5 linked regions of the Mus musculus genome follow. The protein of the gene in region 5 interacts with the protein of the main gene of each other region in a pairwise test. Links are inferred from orthologs where the notes say so. Each region holds a gene or a part of one and is shown on either strand. Other genes may lie near its edges. The genes, in order: Plp1, Pln, Gabarapl2, Tmem86b and Bcl2l13.

The links.
Region 1: the proteins of Bcl2l13 (region 5) and Plp1 interact in binary tests that used the Homo sapiens proteins (3 or more experiments, as listed by UniProt). The two-hybrid records come from large-scale screens. The link is inferred for Mus musculus from reciprocal best matches to the Homo sapiens genes BCL2L13 and PLP1.
Region 2: the proteins of Bcl2l13 (region 5) and Pln interact in binary tests that used the Homo sapiens proteins (3 or more experiments, as listed by UniProt). The two-hybrid records come from large-scale screens. The link is inferred for Mus musculus from reciprocal best matches to the Homo sapiens genes BCL2L13 and PLN.
Region 3: the proteins of Bcl2l13 (region 5) and Gabarapl2 interact in binary tests that used the Homo sapiens proteins (3 or more experiments, as listed by UniProt). The two-hybrid records come from large-scale screens. The link is inferred for Mus musculus from reciprocal best matches to the Homo sapiens genes BCL2L13 and GABARAPL2.
Region 4: the proteins of Bcl2l13 (region 5) and Tmem86b interact in binary tests that used the Homo sapiens proteins (3 or more experiments, as listed by UniProt). The two-hybrid records come from large-scale screens. The link is inferred for Mus musculus from reciprocal best matches to the Homo sapiens genes BCL2L13 and TMEM86B.

The regions. Positions count from the first base shown.
Region 1 is NC_000086.7:136,821,428-136,825,560, reverse strand, and holds the start of Plp1 (myelin proteolipid protein), read right to left. Parts: upstream 2,804-4,133; 5' UTR 2,648-2,803; coding exon 2,644-2,647; intron 1-2,643.
Region 2 is NC_000076.6:53,343,586-53,346,506, reverse strand, and holds the end of Pln (cardiac phospholamban), read right to left. Parts: intron 2,751-2,921; 5' UTR 2,644-2,750; coding exon 2,485-2,643; 3' UTR 508-2,484; downstream 1-507. UniProt on the Homo sapiens protein: Reversibly inhibits the activity of ATP2A2/SERCA2 in cardiac sarcoplasmic reticulum by decreasing the apparent affinity of the ATPase for Ca(2+).
Region 3 is NC_000074.6:111,939,401-111,943,504, forward strand, and holds the start of Gabarapl2 (gamma-aminobutyric acid receptor-associated protein-like 2), read left to right. Parts: upstream 1-1,302; 5' UTR 1,303-1,418; coding exon 1,419-1,452; intron 1,453-1,759; coding exon 1,760-1,815; intron 1,816-3,101; coding exon 3,102-3,274; intron 3,275-4,104. UniProt on the Homo sapiens protein: Ubiquitin-like modifier involved in intra-Golgi traffic. Modulates intra-Golgi transport through coupling between NSF activity and SNAREs activation. It first stimulates the ATPase activity of NSF which in turn stimulates the association with GOSR1.
Region 4 is NC_000073.6:4,627,683-4,631,884, forward strand, and holds Tmem86b (lysoplasmalogenase), read right to left. Parts: upstream 2,801-4,202; 5' UTR 2,657-2,800; coding exon of another isoform or gene 2,591-2,656; coding exon 2,540-2,590; coding exon of another isoform or gene 2,525-2,539; intron 2,121-2,524; coding exon 1,874-2,120; intron 1,072-1,873; coding exon 689-1,071; 3' UTR 358-688; downstream 1-357. UniProt on the Homo sapiens protein: Catalyzes the hydrolysis of the vinyl ether bond of choline or ethanolamine lysoplasmalogens, forming fatty aldehyde and glycerophosphocholine or glycerophosphoethanolamine, respectively and is specific for the sn-2-deacylated (lyso) form of plasmalogen.
Region 5 is NC_000072.6:120,884,718-120,888,231, forward strand, and holds part of Bcl2l13 (bcl-2-like protein 13), read left to right. Parts: intron 1-1,960; coding exon 1,961-2,674; 3' UTR 2,675-3,514. UniProt on the Homo sapiens protein: May promote the activation of caspase-3 and apoptosis.

The sequences.
Region 1 (4,133 bases), on a different chromosome or scaffold from region 5:
TATTGTTGACTAGGTTTCTTGGGGTCCTGGCTCAGGGCTAAGGTAAAGCCCCTCAAAGCAGGGCAAATTGCTTAATCTCTCTAGTCTTTCAAGAGCTTCTAGCTAGGCAGAGCAAGGTAAGAAGTGGCGTGGTGAAGGCTGCCCTTGATCACTTCAGTCAGCGTCTCTAGGAAGAGTCCTTTAATGTACTGGTCTAAACCTGCTTTCTTCTTAAGTCTTAGCTTTCTTGTGGTGCCTTTGATGGCATCCAGATAGTCCTCAGGTACCTAGTAGAATTCTCAGCCTCTGCTCTGCCTCCACATTTTGTACTTTCAAGCCACTCTTAGAGGGAAGCATCTAAGATGCACAGTCTGGTTGCCAGGGTAACGGCTGCTGTTCTCAGATGACAAAAAGCTCGAGGAACCAGGTGTCTTGCTGTTCACTGATGGCATTGTTACTGAGCAGAAAAATATTCACTATGGCTCTCTGGCTTTCTCAGTTCCGTTGCTATTCCAAAGACTCATGTGAAGTGTCTCCTTGCCAAGCTATTCCACAGCCCATAACCCTTTTGCTCAGGTATCACCGGACCCAATAGTCTTGCTCAGTTCCAATCCTAAGAGATTTTCTGGTTGAGGTAATAAGCTGCCTGTTTCTGGAGGCGATTAAGCAGAGACATATGTATATTTATCTTAGTCAGAGAAATGAATTCTGCATTGAAAGTTGGTTCAGACAACTTCTTTTGGAATCAGAGTCTCTCTATGTTGTCTAGCTAGCCTTTTCTAATGATTCTCCCATCTCAGTTTCCTATGGTGTTAAAGGCATGTGACACCACACAGAACTCCACCTCAGATACGTTCCAATGTTCCTTTCAATTCCAAACTCTATGATTTGACTGGTCTATTGCAAGGGTTGAACAGCATTCCACATCAGAAGCAATAGCATTCCACTGCCTGGTCAGAAATGGCTGAAAATTCACATGGTCTCAGATACTGTGTTACTGAGTGATTGCAGAGACAGTGGCTATTCTGTCCTGTATCCCTAGTCCATGTATTGCTTACCCACCCACATCCACATCCTCTGGGGGAGATCATTCAGCCTCCATTACAAGAACATGCTCCTCTGGTCATTTTCTCTCTTCCTGTCTTTATCTCTTCAGGGCCTTATCCCCTGAGGAAGTAATTCAACTTACACTCCTCCTCTGTTTTGAAAGAACAACCTATTTAATCAGCCACATGAATGTTAGATAGGGTTCCTGGGTCCAGAGCAGGAAGTGACTTTTTCCCATCTTGCTACATTTACGAGATCAAATGTTTCTTACATACAAGGTATGCACAAAGACAACCTTGCAAAGAGGAAGGGTTAGCCTAGATATGCACTGGTGCAGAGTAGTCGTTGTCATCAGAATTTACAGGGTTTATAGGACTTCTCTACACTGACAGGGCTGCCACATCCTTATTACTTGATCTTCCACCCTGAAAGTAGACAAAACAGTTATTGTTGCCCCTGTCTACCAGATGATGAAATGGTGATTCATGGTGACATGCCTAATTTTGCAGAGTTCCTTAGAGACTGAGCTGAGATCCAAACCTGGTTGTTTGGACCAGTAGTCTAAGACGCCACCCTCTTAACTATCCTGCCTACATATATACTTGTAACAGTTCCCTCAGTGACTTGAGATGAAAAAAGCCAAGGTTAACAACAGTTCAGTTTCTAATTGAAAAACTACTTCTGTGGATCTTTTTACTGGTTACAAAGTTGCACGGTGAACACACAGGAAAACTGAATCTCCTCTCCTTCAGGATGTGTTCAAGTTGCTACTTTTATCTTCCCCACATGTGAGCAATAAGTACCTATCTCTGCAGCATCTTACCTAGGCAAAGACCCTTATGCCCCACACACCTTACTCTGAACAGGCACTGCTGGACAGCAGAATTTTACATCTTCCATAGTTGTGGAACATAGAAAAACCCTCAGGTCTCAGACAACTTAACAAAAGCCTTTAGATAGAAGCCTCCTTGTTATATCTGGGATTAAGGGTAAGTCCATGATACTAGAAATGTTGTCCTATATGTGTGTGCTCACATGCATCCGTACACACAAGCATACACAAGCACATACAATCCATATCTATTCCGCATGGTAAAACCACTGTGAACTGTATTTTCATTTTCTGAACCTGGAATGTCCACTATAGGCACTGCCAAGTCTGAGTCCAATTTTCCCCATTCCTCCACATCCTACTGATGCAAAACATGCTTTGAAGTTTGTATCAGGGAAGCAAGTACTTAATGCATTTGTAGCTTAGTCAATATTCAAGTTGCCTCCAGCAGAACAAGGGGTCCCACACAACCTGACCATAATCAGGGCCTTAAGATCGGGGAAAGGAGAGAGGACAAGGAAGTGAGGGGTAAGAAGCCACATGATCATAGCCAACCTGTGTGCATTTTCCAAAGGTCTGGAAGACACCACATGTACTGCCAGGATTCGTTGGCAGTGAAGCAGTATGCTCAGCACAGCAGAGAAGGGGTTAATACAGTTAAATGCTAAGAAATTAAAACAGAAAATAAGTGCCAAAACACAACTTATTTAAGCCACTGGAAACCCAAAGCCCCAAAGTTGAACTCCTGTGCCTGCATCTTTGATGCTGGAGTTTTTGAAACTCACCCATGTCTTTGGCACTCTGACTCCAATTGTAGCCTGTTGGCTAGTCTGTTTTGCGGCTGACTTTGCTCAGCTGGAAGGATCCTGGTCTCTCCAGTCTCCTTCTTCTGTCCTTTACTTTTTCTCTCTGAGTATCTTTGTCCTCTTCTCCTGCAATGAAAAGGGCTTTCTGATTGACAGCCAACCCCCTTAAAGAGACAGGCTCGTTTCCCTCCTCCTCTCCTCCTCCCCTTCTCCTCCCCTTGTCCCCACCTCCTTTGGGATACTCCCTTCTTTAAGGGCTCCATCTTCTCTTTATGCCTTTTCACTCCCAATTGTTTTTTTTCTTTCTCTCTCTTTTCCCCCCTAAAGCTTCTCTAGAATTTCATTTTGCTTTAAATAAATCAGGAAGTGTGAATTAGGGGTGTAAATTAAATGGAGGGGTTCTTGAATCCTCCCAAATGATCCTTGGGTCCATTTAAATGTGTCATACCTGGGTCTGAGCATGTAAAGTCATGTGAAATAGTAGCCCTGATGAGAAGGGGGTCTGAATCAAAAGCCTACTTACTATACTACCAAACACACCGCACCCAACTCTCACTGCTCGTTGCCCTTGACCATGGAACCTTTCCTTTCCTCTGTAAGCAAAAAAAGCATTCTTTCTCTTCCTGGCACTGGAAACACAATGGGGAAGAAAAAAAGTCATTTAAAATAATTTCTTCAAAAGCTTTGGTTTTAGAAGAATGCAGATAGAACCAGCTGCTGATTCTATGAACAGACTGTGTGTGACCAGGCTCAAAAAAGCCAGACGTGCAATGAGAGTACATTTGGATAACAGAGATACAAAGGAGAGGGCAAGACCTGTGCCAAGGTCACAAGGGACAAAAAGGCCAGAGTGGACCATGTAGGCAATTTTCAAGGAAAATGAACTCTGAGACAAGACATTATCACAAACTGGCAAGCAGCTAGTCAAAACTCTTCCCAGGAAATAGTGTTCCCATCAGAGTGAAGATGAGGCTAAGGAGACGGAAGGAGCGTTTGGGAAAGCAGCAGTCAGAGTTGGGGGGGGGGGGAGAAAGAAAATACAGTCCTTGTCTCAAAGAGGATTCTATGAAAAAATATGGCCAAGCAGTAAAAAGAGGGGAAGTATTTGTGAACCATTTACAATGGTAAGAGTGATTTCTGACGTCTGTGAAGGAACCAAATATAAAAGGTGATGTTAGCTAGGCAAACTTTTCTAGTCCTTTCTAAAACAGGTGCACCTTAAGGAGCGCTTATGTGGTTTCTTTGTCTATCTTCTCTCTCACCTCAGAAGCCTCACACTCATAACCCTCTTGATTTAGAAGCAAGATTCTACTGCTGAATGGCTCTAAGGAAAGTTGTGGAACTTGTCATTTCTATACCTCTAAAAAATAAGGTATGTCCTCCTGAACTTGTCCTGTGGTTTTTGTCTTGAGATAAGAGACAATAGAGGAGGAAAACTGAGTAGGACCTACAACTCTGGACTCCAGAAT
Region 2 (2,921 bases), on a different chromosome or scaffold from region 5:
ATAACATAAAAGACTTCTTCGAAATGAATTGTGAATGAAAAAGTCTGGCTTGTAACTCGGATTTTCTTATGTTTTTTTAAAAAGAAAATTTTCTTAGTTTCATTATTTTTCATGCTGTTTTATCTTTAACTCTTTAGCTGAGACAATCTGTATACTGAGGAGGTGACTATGACACATGCAGTCACAGTTTGTGACATAGTGGGTAGCTTAAAGCATCTGCTAGTGGATACATGCTTTACGGATTGATTTGTCTATCTCTATTTCCATGTCTATATAATTTATCATGTCCTTTCAAGACATTAAAAATCTGGTATTAGTGTGTAACCAAGCCTTCTTATGTTACTGATTGCACTCCTACTTTGCCAGAAGACTCAAAATAATTGGAGGCTAAAAAATATTATTATGTGTAGGCCTATCCTCTTTTGTGTTTTTCTCTGGAAATCTTGATTTTTACTTTGTTTGGTAAAAGTTCCCCCACTCTGCCCTTTATAACACAAAACTCTTTGTAACAAGACAACATTTTATAGTCAATAGAATATAATTGTATAGTAATTTCACCAAAATCAAAACTCCATTTGAATATAGGTCATTCCAATTTCATTTTACAGATAAACAGTTACAGATAAACTACAAATAAACTACTAAAAATGTAAAAGGCAGCATTAAATGTTTAATGAGAAGAGCCTTATGAGCTGACAGTTTATACCTTGAAGTTGATGTGGTAGTGAGCAATATAACAAATGCCTGGTGCTTTTCAGCTTCAGCGTCACGTTTCTCTCAGCATGGCCAACTACACAACTTATGTATTTTTTACAGACCTCTTACCAGTGGTTCTCAACCTGTGGGTTGCAACCCCTCATGCAAACCTGTTTCCAAAATATTTACAATTCATAGTGGAGGTAAGGAGGCGAAATTACAGTTATGAAATAGCAACAAAAATGATTTTATTGTTGGGTATCACCACAACATGAGGAACTATATAAAAGGGCCACAGCGTCAGAAAGGGAACGTTAAATACCACTGAGTTAGAGATGATGTCATCCATGTTTTATAGTTTCTGTGATGGGCCCCTCCAGCCTTTATGAAGAGACCCCCTGTTACCATTGGACTCCTTTAGGGGCTACTCTTTAGATAATTTCTGAACCCGAACAGCTTCCTTTCTACCAGGGGTTCAAACAGTTTAAATCAGCAGCCTTCAGCTGCTCTGCTAAAGACCAAAGTGAATACTGATGTTTTATGTCTTTGTAGTAATGGTTATGGAAAATATATCTAATTACAATTCTCTTCCTTAATAATTGCTATGTTAGTAGCATGTTTTGAACTGGACTTAAAAATTGTGGGTTTGCAAAGTTAGGCATAAACTGTTTTGTACTTGATCCAGTTTAAGTCACTAAATTTTGGTGAATATATTTTCCAATCTATTTTTTGCTTCTATTTTAGTAGTTATTGAGAGATAGTAGAAACTTAGAAAGGGAAATTGAAACCATGGTCAGTAAGAATTATACACTAGCTCTCTAGTTCTACTTCTAAAGTTAGGGGACAACCACTTCCTCTCTGGGAGATCAGGAAAAGAAAGAGCTGTGTCTTACTACAGCTTGGTTATTACTGTTATCTTCATTATTTGAGAAACGCTATTAAACCAAGGAGATACATGAGAGCGACAAGCTTCAGGTGAGACTCTGGATCTTTAGTGATTATCACAGCCAACACAGCAAGATGTTCCTGCTTGTTGATCAAACCCTAGAGAGAGCAGATTTGTGGTTAATGTACATGTACATGTACACAGCCCTTGAGCAAAATTAGTGAATAATTTTATATGAGAATATGTTCTTACATTTCCCCCTTTAACTCTCATAAGCTTAAAAATACTAGTGTGTAGAAAAAGGGCACAACATTTTTTCAAGGTATTTGTTCTGACAGTAGTGACCAAGAGATTTGAATCGTCGTCATCATCATCATCGTCGTCATCATCATCATCGTCATCATTGTGTCATCTATGTGAGGACCCAGTGAGCTATTTTCAATAAGAACACTTCATTTAAATGACTATTTTCTACTTTGTGGAGAACTGAAGAACACTTAGTTCCTATAAAAAAGGTAGTGGCAATGCAGTATATATTCCATTTATTCCCCAGACTGGAGCTATAAAGTGACCTTGCTAGAGTTGGATATAGAAAGTGAACTTTTTTGGTAGTGGTGTTTCAAAATTAAAACTCATACTTCATTGTCAGAAATATTTAGGAAAGAAATTTATGAGCCATGTTGAGGAAATTGGCAGCTACATTATGCACACTTAGCCACTGTAAAGTTTGTTTACAAGATCCAGCAGATGAATACACTGGCTAACAATTAGTTTCACTCTTAATCGTGACCCTCACAAAGCTGTTCTCAGCCGGAAGGCAGCGGTGCGTTGCTTCCCCCATGACGGAGTGCTCGGCTTTAAGCTGAGTTGGCATGTTGCAGGTCTGGAGTGGCGGCAGCTCTTCACAGAAGCATCACAATGATGCAGATCAGCAGCAGACATATCAAGATGAGGCAGAAATTGATAAATAGGTTCTGGAGATTCTGACGTGCTTGCTGAGGCATTTCAATAGTGGAGGCTCTCCTGATAGCCGAGCGAGTGAGGTATTGCACTTTTTCCATTATGCCAGGAAGGCAAAAGTAGGGAGACAAGTTTTTCTAAGTGGTCAAGAGAAAGATAAAAAGTTGACAACAGGCAGCCAAATGTGAGCTGTCTTCTTTTAGGAGACCTGGGATGTAAAAAATAGTCAACAGATTAGGTTCATACCTAAACCCGTTCTCTGGGTAGATATGCACAGCTTTGCAGCAGCTCGTTCCTCAGCTGTATTTTAAATCCCATCCCCTTCTCCAGTCCCCAAGGCCTCTCTTCTGTCTCTCATGTGTGAGCGTCTCACTGTCCT
Region 3 (4,104 bases), on a different chromosome or scaffold from region 5:
TCTCTGTGTAGCCCTGGCTGTCTGGGAACTCACTCTGTAGACTAGGCTGGCCTTGAACTCAGAAATCCACCTGCCTGCCAAGTACTGGGATTAAAGGCATGGGCCACCACACCCAGCTAACACAAAGTTTTAAAAGTTCTTTAAATTAAATTTTTTTTTCCTTAAGATTTTCATTATCTTCCCTGCATCTGGGTGTGTATGTGTATGGAGGCTTGCCACAGTGAATGCCTTGAGGCCAGAAGATAACCTTTGTAAACAGGTTGTCCTCCATCACTTGGGTCCTCAGGATTGAACTCCGTCTGGCAGGCTTGGCACCAAGCGTTTTTACCTGCTGGGAACTGAGTCTCTCCCCTCCCCCCAGTGGAAAATAACAAATACTTTCAGAATGAAGTTATAGCCACAGCATCTATCAGGAATTTCAACTGTAGGGAATGATTGATGACAAGGTTCAAACACTGGCTCTACAGATGCGGCAGATCATATAAGCACGTGGTCAGGTGGCCGATTAACTGCATATTCATGTTCTGTGTTCACCAGTGCATAAACAGATGGTGACCCAGAGCCGACTTCCTGGATGACTATGCTACGACTTGGACAGGGGTGGAACCTCGAGGCTTGTGCCTAGGGCAGGTGACACCCACAGCTCAGGGTTAGTGCCGAGCCACTCCCACTGCCAGCTCCTTCTCCTAGGGTGTCTTATGACCAGCTCTCCCAGGAATCCTCCCCGCCTGACACTGGCACTTCGCCTCTGACAGTTTCCGATAAAGAATCTCTGTGATCAGGGATATTCCGTTGACTAAATGAGTATGTGTGGTACTTGTTCATAAGTGTTCATGAATGTTTAAAATATGTATTCGTGAGTGGGAAGTGAGATTTGTTTAAATCAAATTTTAGGTGCAACAACTCCTATACTAGACCTCTAGGTGGTCACCAGTACTCGTTGCACACAGCGCTTGGAACAGGTTATCCCTCCATGCCGAGCTCCCGCCTTCTCACCCAGCCAAAAATTAATATTCATTTCTCCTTAAGCCCCAGACTTCCCCTTCCAGAGCCCTTTACAAGCGTTCCAAGCTATGAGCCATGACCTGCCTGTCATGCACAATCCTGAAACTCCATTCCAGTCACTAATTCCTAAAGTCTCCACTGTCACTCACAGACTTCCCAGCCACCTACGTCAGTCTCCATTCCCAGGAGCGCTCCTAGGTCTCCGCTTAGGCTCCGCCCTCTCACGTAATCGTAGCCTACTGAAGCTCTTACCAGGCCCGCCGGAAGCCCCGCCCCGGGAGGTTGCTAGGCTCCGGCAGCCGGAAGTCCCGCCTGTGGAGTAGTCGTCGCTGCCGCCGCCGCCTCCGTTGTTGTTGTGGTCGCTTCGCCGAAGTCCGCGGCTCGAAGAGCCGGCTCCGTCGCTTCCCGTCGCCATGAAGTGGATGTTTAAGGAGGACCACTCTCTGGGTAAGCGCGGTCGGCCTGCGGGGCCCCAGATCGCGGCCCCTCCCCCACTCCCGCCGCCCTGCCGGGCCCGCTGGGTCGCCAAGGCCCCGGCATCCTGGCGCCTCCCACGGACCCGTGTCGCCCTACGTGGATCTCGCTGGGAGTTCCTGAGGGGATCTGTGGCGAGGGACTCCGGGGCTAGGACTCGGGGCGTACGCACGCAGGCAGGTTGCGGGCGGAGAAGGGCGGACAGGAAGAAGGGGTTCCGGCAGCGGCGGCCCTGCTGTCCGGCAAGTGCGAATGTCAGCCTGGTTTTCTTCTTCCCCAGAACACAGATGCGTGGAATCCGCGAAGATCAGAGCGAAGTACCCCGACCGAGTTCCGGTGAGTGTGGACTCCCCGCCCCCTCACCCCGCTGTCACCCTTAGCGTCTAGGAGAGGTGTCGGGCGGGCGCGCTAGGCCGTGCAACAGTTGAGAACTTAAGGTCTCAAGGTGTAGCCCAGAGACCGAGGACAGCCTGGGGTTCCGCCGGCCCAAGCTTGGGGCTTAAGGGGCTGGTGCTGTCCAGGGGCACCAGTGCTGAATCTCCCGATCTAGGGCAGCAAGCTGCTTGCAGCCTCTCGGCTCCCTCACCAATTATGTAAGGAACCGTGTTCTAGGACAGGGCAACAGGTCACTGCCACTTTGGGGAATGATGGTGGAGGGAGACTGGCATTTGGGGTTGGATACGGTAGCATCCTTTCAAGGTAGTCATCTTTAACGCTGGACCTTTAACTTCGAGTTTCTCTTTACCCTGATTCTGCCATCCTTGTTTGACTAACAAATCTGAAATGCTCTCGTTTTGCCTCTAATCAATAAGTATGTTGCTTTATTTCTGCTTTCTGCCCTAGTTGGGGCGATCGTTTCTGATATCACTATTGATTTTTGAAGGACATAAAGTCTTACTATTGTAGTGCTTTGCTTGTAAACAGTCCCTTTGAGAAGCAGGAGGATAAATGTTAACTGTTCAGAGAGAAGCAACAGGCCAAATGAAAATGTCGGCTCTTGGGTGGCTGTAGTTGTATAGCTTTGCCCTTAGTTCATCCATTTCTTTCCAGTGTTGTTGGGGATTGGAATGCTCTAACAGGGTCTATCTATGGATCAAAAGATGACAGATGAAACCCTAGCCAGATCAATCTTTTCATCGGCCTAGATAAAATGTTAGAGAGCTACCCTTGCAGTGGGGTGGCACGTGCCTTCAGTCCCAACATTCAGGGGTCAGAGGCAGCTGATCTCAGAGTTTGGGGACAGCCTGGTCTACAGTTCCAGGACATCTGGGACTAACAGAGAGACCCTGTCTCTGGAAGAAGATAGAAAGCTTTGTAGCTGTGCTTCTCTTACAAACGCTGAGATCAGAAATGAGGAATATCAGTCAGCTCTGGGCCTCCAGAGCGGGGCTTCTTGAGCTGTGGGCATATTGATTTACTCATCTGTGCCGTTTCCCACACACTGCCTTGTCCACACTCTGCTCATCAGACTGGAGCAATCAAGCCCTGTGGGTAAGTGCTGGAGCTCGCTCTCCCTCGCCGTCCCTCTCACAGTGCTGGGAACCAGGTAGCAGCCTTTGTGGATTCCAGGCAAAAGTTGCTCTGTGGAGGACTGGCCTGAGCTTCTGACCCGTCTTTCCCAGGTGATCGTGGAAAAAGTCTCGGGCTCTCAGATTGTTGACATAGACAAGAGGAAGTACTTGGTCCCCTCGGACATCACTGTGGCTCAGTTCATGTGGATCATCAGGAAAAGGATCCAGCTTCCCTCCGAGAAGGCCATCTTCCTGTTTGTGGACAAGACAGTCCCACAGTCCAGGTAAGAAGTGTTTGCTAGCTGGGCCTGTGGCTTGGAAATCCATTCGCCGCTTATAAAACTCAAACCATAGGAGGTGTTCTTAGTACAACTTCTTCCTTTCCTTTTCCTTCCTTCCTTCCTTCTTTCCTTCCCTCCCTCCCTCCCTCCCTTCCTCTCTTTCCCTATCCCTCCCTCTTTCTCTCTTTTGGTTTTTCAAGATAGTTTATTTCCTCCTTTTTTTAATTAGATATTTTCTTTATTTACATTTCAAATGTTATCCGGAAAGTTCCTTATACCTCCCCCCATGCCCTGCTCCCCTACCCACCCACTCACACTTCTTGGCCCTGGCGTTCCCCTGTACTGAGGCATATAAAGTTTGCAAGACCAAGGGGCCTCTCTTTCCAATGATGGCCAACTAAGCCATCTTCTGCTACATATGCAGCTAGAGACACAAGCTCTGGGGGTACTGGTTAGTTCATTTTGTTGTTCCACCTATAGGGTTGCAGACCCCCTTCAGCTCCTTGGGTACTTTCTCTGGCTCCTCCATTGGGGCCCCTATGTTCCATCCTATAGATGACTGTGAGCAGCATCCACTTCTGTATTTGCTAGGCACTGGCATAGCCTCACTGAAGCTATATCAGGGTCCTTTCCGCAAAATCTTTCTGGCATATGCAATAGTGTCTGGGTTTGGTAACTGATTATGGGATGGATCACTGGGTGGGGTAGTCTCTGGATAGTCCATCCTTTTGTCTTAGCTCCAAACTTTGTCTCTAACTCCTTCCATGGGTGTTTTGTTACCTATCCCAAGGATGAATGAAGTATTCACACGTTGGTCTTGCCTCTTGATTTTT
Region 4 (4,202 bases), on a different chromosome or scaffold from region 5:
GGCCCATTGTGGGTGGTCCTTGGGCTGGTAGTCTTGGGTTCTATAAGAGAGCAAGCTGAGCAAGGCAGAGGAAGCAAACCAGTAAGAAACATCCCTCCATGGCGTCTGCATCAGCTCCTGCTTCCTGCCCAGCTTGAGTTCCAGTCCTGACTTCCCTTGGTGATCAACAGCAATGTGGAAGTGTAAGCTGAATAAACCCTTTCCTCCCCAACTTGCTTCTTGGTCATGATGTTTTATCCAGGAATAGAAACCCTAAGACTCACACCTAAATCATTTTTTTTCCCCTAAATCCATGCTTGCTGTTAGAACTGTCATCATCCCCCTATACATTCCTCCCAAATAATGGTGACACTGATGTTCCAACACTCATTTTACTTAAACAGCTAGAACCAGATCTGGAGCAGTGTGAAGGGGCAGGTGGATAGGAAAGGCTGACTGGGAAAAGGAAGTGGGCATGGGGAGGGGAAGACAGGATATGGGTTGGGTTGAGGGTCCTGGAATCCAGAAGAAGCCAGGGAAGGCAGTTTGAAATCAGTGGTAGATCTGAAATTCTGCCAACAGTATACAGATGTTAAAGATGGCCACATATCTGTCAGCATATGACTGGAAGCATTCACTTGCCAGGCTGGGTCAGTGTGGAAAGCCAAGGTCCCTATGGGAGGGGATACCAGGCTGTCTGAGGCCTGCATTAGTGGGTTTTGAGCCCCGGGTTCCTGAGAGCCGACAGGATGAGGAGGAGCTGGGCTGCATAGTAGGTGCTCATGGTCACTAGGCGGGCAAAAGGTAAAGAGTAGACAAAAGTGTCCCAGGCCAGCACACCATCTGAGAATGTAAAGAGCACAGCACCCCAGCTAGCACTTCCACCCCAGACAAGGCTGCGCCACAGCATGGAGTTCAAGATCAGCCCATAGGCCATCACGGGCAAGACCATGCCCTGCTCAAGGTGTAGCAGGAGGAAGCTGTAGTATGTCAGAGAGGCCAAGGTGGTGCACAGCAGCAATCCGGGCTGCAGTGGGGTCAGGCCAAAAGCCCCGAGGTAGAATAAGTGGGCAACAGAGAAGGCTGCCGTGCCTGAAGAAGAGAGGGATGAGAACTCAGTGAGGTAGGGTGGGCACCAATTGGCCTCCTGCTTCTCCCTGTTGTCTTGGCCACAACCAGACATGAACAGTGCCCCCAAAGCACCAGCTCCATCGTGATCTGCTGATTATAGCACTCCTTCTTGATGGGTCTCCAAATTCTTCTTATCCTTGGGTGTTCAATCAGTTCCCAAAGCAATGGTGATAACCTTAAGATGCATGGCATCATGTGCTTGCTCTGCTCAAGTACCTGTCTTTCCAAATCGTGTTCTGGGAAGCCCCATACCCTTGTTTTCCCCATCCTACTCTAGCCAAACTGGCCCATTTGGACAAAGTAACTCATACACTATTACCCCAGGTCCTTTCCACATGCACTTTCCATGCCCAGGATGGCCACACTTCCCATCTACACAGCTACATATCCTTATTCCTGTAATCCTAGCCCTTGAGAAAACTAAGGCAGGAGGATCCAACATTTGAGGCCATTCAGACCAGCCCTCATATATAGACATCTCAAAAATGACTCCTTACCTCCCCCACCCACCTCAGTCATGCTACACCTTAATTTTCTCCACACCACCCCTTCCAACCAGGTAATCCCACATCTTCCAACCAGTCTGACTCCAAGCCCCTGGCTGAACTGTGAGCTATGCTGTCACCCATCACTGCCTTCTGGCACCTCTGGATAACCCAGAGGACCTAGGGAGGGAGGGCTCCATATAATGAAAAGCTGTGTCCCAGTACTGACTCAACTCCACAAGAACCCTAGGTGTGTTGTCATAGAAGCCCCTGCTCACCATAAAAGAAAGCTTCAGGCCAGATGAGGCAGGCATCTCCCACAGCAGAACATACAAGAGCTCCCTGCAGGAGCCAGGTGCTGCTCCCACCAGGGGCCACAGCCCACAGGAACACAACCAGGCAGAGAATGGGCTGGCACTTGATCAGGGCACTGACCCAAGATGGCTGGTCCACAGGAATCCAGAGGAGGAAGTAAAGGGAGCAGGCAAGGATGAAGGGGGCCAGCCACCTGCGGACCTGTGGGTACTTCAAGAGAGCGAAGCTTCTCAGCCTCCCTCCCATTCGCAGCCAGTCCTGGGGGAGGGGTCACTGCAAGGCACTGTAGGAAATGTCTAATTCCAGTACTTAGCAGGTGGAAACGGGAGGCTGTTGATTTCAAAACCTGTCTAGGATACCCAGTGAGAACCTATTTTAACGGCCATCCCCCACACCACCCTCATGCCAGGACCCAAGCATGTCCAGGTTGGACTTTCGGGACTAGGATCTTTAGCCACCTTGAGAACCTTTTCATTCCTATCTCCTGCAAGGACAAAACCACGATACCTTAGAACCCAGCCTCCTGGAAGGACAGGGCATCCCCACCAACTCACCAAGCATAGAGAATCACAGGCCCCAGTACTGCCCATGTTCCCAGACCTGCCCATCCCCACCTTACAGGTTCTCACTTGGTCTGAAAAGAGTGTCTCCAGGGGCAGCCCCTCTTTTCTAGCATCCATGCTGAGTTGCTTCTCTTTAGGAGCCAGTGGCTTCAGAGGGCAGAGGGAAGTCTTGTGGTTACACATTAACCCAAGTGTCCTGTGGACTCTGGGGCTGATAACAGGGCTCACGCAAGGCCTGCTCTTGTCTGGCACTTGCTGATAAGGTACCCATCAGGCACCAAGGGCCACCCCCCAGCACTTAGAAACCTGGCCACCACCTCCAAAAGTGAGCCCCCTCCCCCAAAGTGGAACTCCCATTGTCTCACACCCAGCCAATTATAAGGAACAATGCAAAGTTCCACAGAGGGGTAGCCCTACAACCAACCCTGGAAAACAGGGGTCCTGCCACAAACACTGGTTAAATAAATCCTGCATTGTGCCTGAAGTCATTCAAACATTCCCTGGAAGGAAGGACGACCACACCACTGTACACTCATGTTCTGCAGCCTTCCCATGAACAAGATAGGGACCTACTGGATGCCAAGAAACTACTAGGTTCCTCAACCATCCCCCTTAGGGATGCTTCATTGTATGTCCATTCTCAAGGGAGCTTCCTGTCTCCTAATCTCTCCCACACCTTTGGTTTTTTGTTTTTGGTTTTTTAGATTTATTTATTTATTATATGTAAGTACACTGTCGCTGTCCTCAGACACTCCAGAAGAGGGAGTCAGATCTCGTTACGAATGGTTGTGAGCCACCATGTGGTTGCTGGGATTTGAACTCCTGACCTTTGGAAGAGCAGTCGGGTGCTCTTACCCACTGAGCCATCTCACCAGCCCCCACACCTTTGTTTTTGAGACAGGGTTTCTCTGCCCAGCCCTGGCTGTCCTGGAACTCAGTTTGTAGACATGGCTGGGCTTGAACTCACACAGATCCACCTGCCTCTGCCTCTGCCACCACCACATGCCTGGTGCCTCCTATCCCCGTAATGGCAGGACGCTCAGCTCCAAAGTCCAGGGACCTCTTGCTCCTTTTAGCAGGCCTGTTAGAGGATAGAGCTGAGTCAGCACAGCCCTAACTGATCTGCATTTTGGAACAGGGCCACGGAGGTACACATATCAGGATGAGAGCGCCCCAGAGTGCTAACTCCTGATGTTCTGCCTGATGTCTAAGTATTCCCCATCCCCTACACCCACACACACTCTCACAAGTGTGGTCCTAAGAGAATGTAGCTCTCTAGGCTATGAAGAGCAAGTTCACCCAACTCTGAGTCCCAGAACTCACAGTCCCACAGCAGGAATGTTCTGCTATCTTCCTTTATTTATATCTGCAGTATGAAACACAAGCTCTGCACACATACTTGCACACTCACACCAGCCTTGGGGGGGGCAGGGGGAGCTGGGACAAGGCCACTTGGCAGCAGTGCTGGAACCCTCAGGGCATGGGGTACCCAGCAACCCCCATTCTGGGCCTCTAGGGATGTTCCCCAGGGCCAGGGGCCGGATGACACCCTCTGTTACACCCCAAGGTGGTCCTGAGTGAAGCTGGGTAAGAGCATCTGCACCAGAGCACAGGCCAGCGGCCTCCAACCCCAGCGCCAGCCCCTACTGGGACAGACGGGGAAGGTGTGCTTCAGAGCTGCTGGCCCAGTTATTGTCCTGGCTTTCTTTCTTACTCCTCCCTCAACATA
Region 5 (3,514 bases):
AATCCATATGAAAAATGGCGCTAAGGGAGGCATCCTTTGACGCTTAATAATCACACTCTGTGTGCATGTGGCCCTGGCCTGCCTGGCATTTGTGATTCTCTGTCTCTCTGTCTGTCCCCCCCCCCCCCCAAGAAAAAAAAGAAGAAAACAAAGTGTGTATTGGGAAGTGGCCAGGAGAAAATTGCTCATGAAAATTCTTGCTCAACTTTTACAATTTTTAAAAATTTGTCTTGTGTGTATGGGTATTTTGTCTGCATACCACATGTATGCCCTTGACCTGGAGTTACAGATGGTTGTGAGCCACCATAGTGGTTGTGAGCTGCCATGTGGGTGCTTGGAATTGAACCTGAGTCCTTATCCCCTCAGGCACCTCTCTAGCCCAGTTTTTATACTTCTTAAATTTAATTTTTATGTGTATGGGTATTTTATCTTCATTGCTTCTATGTACTACTTTTGTGCCTGGTGCCTGCTGAAGCCAAAGATGGCATGGATCTTCTGGAACTCAGTAGCAGACTGGAACTCAGTAGCAGACAATTGTGAGCTGCCATGTGGGTGCTGGGAGTTAAATCCAGGCCCTCTGTAAGAGCAGCCAGTGCGCCTACCCTATGAGGCAGCCCTCTGGCCCCTTGCTTGGTTTCCATGTCCTATACATGACCACAGCAGCTAGTAAAGATCTTCATCTCTTTCCTTTCTGAATTGAACCAACACCCCCTGAATCTGAGCGTGTTCCCTTCTCCCCACTCCTCTCCTGCATACTTCCAGCCGTTGAGATTCAGAGGAACCTCCCGAAGGCTAGGCTCATCCTCAGAAGCCGGCAGGCTCAGCAGCACCTCTTCTTTATTTGTTACCTGTTTGCTTCTGAGAGAAAATCTCACAGTGCAGCCCTGACCAATGCCTGTATAGTACTGTGTATTATATTAGAAATTAATGTATAATCATTGTTTTATTATATACCTATTTCCTTATATACCATTGTTTTGTTAGTTTTTTGGTTTGGTTTGGTGTTTTGTTTTCTGAGACAGGATTTTTTGTGTGTATCCTGGGCTTTATTACAACTCACTCTGTAGACCAGGCTGGCCTCGAACCCACAGAGTTCTGCCTGCTTCTGCCTCCCCAGTGCTGGGACTAAATCACACTCCTGGTGTGATTTTTTAAAAAATTTTTATTGTGTGTCAGTGTGAGAGACCACTAGTTATAGATTAAAGTCCTTATTTCTAGCTCAGTCACTCATACTGAACTTCCTCCTCCCCATACACAGTGCAGAGTAAGCAGTTAGCTCTTCCCTGCCAGCCCTTTGGAGCTCTGTGCTTTGGCTGCCGTGTTCCTTCTTGATGGCCATTACTGCGGGAATGCCATGATTTTCCATATTTGCCTTCTCACACCCACAGACCCGTTGTATAAGCTTGCACTAGCACTCGGTCCTGGCAGGGTACTCGGTGGCAATACCTTCAAGAGTGCAATATCTCATTTCCATTTTCTCTGCTGACTTGAGTTAATTGGCTGTATATGATACACAATGAATATCAATTTATAATTTTTTAGTTTCAAGGAAACTAAAATTCTAAACTAAAAATTCTGCCATTTAGCAGGCTGTGGTGGCACAGGTCTGTGATATCAGCACTTGGAAGGCTGAGGCTGGACAGAATATTGAGACTGTTGGGGGAGAGAAAAGGTGTGATCATAATATATTGTATGGATAATCTTTTTTTAATTAAAAGAAAATGTTTAAGGGGGAGGGGTATTTTGAAACCAACTCTAGTAGAAGCATTTTTTTTCAAAAAAAGGAAATAAAGTAAAACTCTTTTCCACATTTTCCTTCAGATGGGTGTTCTCTGCTCAGACACTGTAGGGATCCAGGAGTTTATTTACTCCTGAAACTGAGGTTAGCTAAGAATGATTTTCCTAGGTTAACACGTTCTCACTGTTAACGGTCTTTGTGTGGTCCCCTCTTGTGTTTTAGGGCAGTGTCTTTAGTCTTGAGCCTGAGGAGGAGGAATACCCGGGGATCATTGCGGAAGATAGCAATGACATTTATATACTGCCCAGTGACAACTCCGGACAAGTTAGTCCCCCTGAATCCCCGACAGTGACAACATCCTGGCAGTCGGAGAGCCTTCCCGTCTCACTGTCTGCTAGCCAGAGCTGGCACACAGAAAGCCTCCCGGTGTCGCTCGGGCCCGAGTCCTGGCAGCAGATTGCAATGGACCCTGAAGAAGTGAAGAGCTTAGACAGCAGCGGGGCTGGGGAGAAGAGTGAGAACAACTCGTCCAACTCTGACATCGTGCACGTGGAGAAGGAGGAGGTGCCAGAGGAGGCCTTCCCGGGAGCGGCTGCTCCCTTGCTCACACAGGTCCCTACCGTGGAGGCCCCAGAAATGATGAGAGCTGAGAAAACGAGCCCCACTCCGTCTGTGTTTGTGGAGCTTGGTGAGGAGGAGCTGGAAGCAGTAACAGCGAGACCCGAGGCTGTGGAGAGGGCGGAGGGGGCCGCTCAGCTGAGTGAGGAGAGAGCCGGGAGCAGGAAAAAGAGCCACACTGGGGAGGCCGCCGCTGTCAGGGGGGCAAAGAGTGGCCTGCCCGCCGAGGGCAAGGCCGTACTGCTCTTTGGTGGGGCTGCTGCGGTGGCCATCCTGGCAGTGGCTGTTGGAGTTGCACTGGCTTTAAGAAGAAAGTAACAGTCTTTTCAGATGAGACAAGACAGAAAGACCTACGGCTTTAGCTGTATTCACTGGAACTTAGACTGCCAGCAGCTACTGGACATTTGCAGGACACTGGAGGAATTGGGCTTTCAGCTCAGCGTGGCAGTGTCTTGAGACAGTGTTCACATTGGCCTGGTTGTCATTTTAGGGCCTTGGCTCATGCTAGATTCAGAAGGGCAAGAGTGAAACTCCCACCTCCAACAGGTTAGTCAACTTGGGCAGTAATTCTCTGTAGGAGGCTGCTCTGTGCATTATGTAATGATCGGCAACATCCCTGCCTTCTACCCACTAGATGCCACTGGCACCCACTTACAGTGATGGTAGCCAAAAATGTCTCCTACATTGCCAAATGTCCCCCGTGGACAAAGTCATCTCCCTTTTGAGGGCCACTACTTTAAGGGATAGGGTTCAATTAGGAGACTCTGGGGGAGGAACCTGCAGCTGGGACGGCCTGCTGTTCATCCTGTTGCAGTTTCTCGGGGCAGGTGAGCTGACCGTGCTCTGCAGCTGTTTTCTTTCTGGTCCCCATTCTGTATCGTGAGGTGCTCTCTCCCGCATCACACCACCTCTCAGGTACTGCAGCAGGGCAGTCTCACCCTGTACTTCTTTCCCACCCAACAAGCTCCCGAAGCTCCCCACGGCTCCATCTTTCAAAGATGATGCCTTTAGGGACCTTTAAAATGATAAATACCCAGTCCAGGCGTGGTGGCACCTGCCTGTATTTAGGAAGCGGAAGCAAAGAGATTATCCCAAGTTCAAAGCTAGCCTGGTATATATACCAAGACAATCTGGGGCTGTTTGGTGAAACCTTGTCCC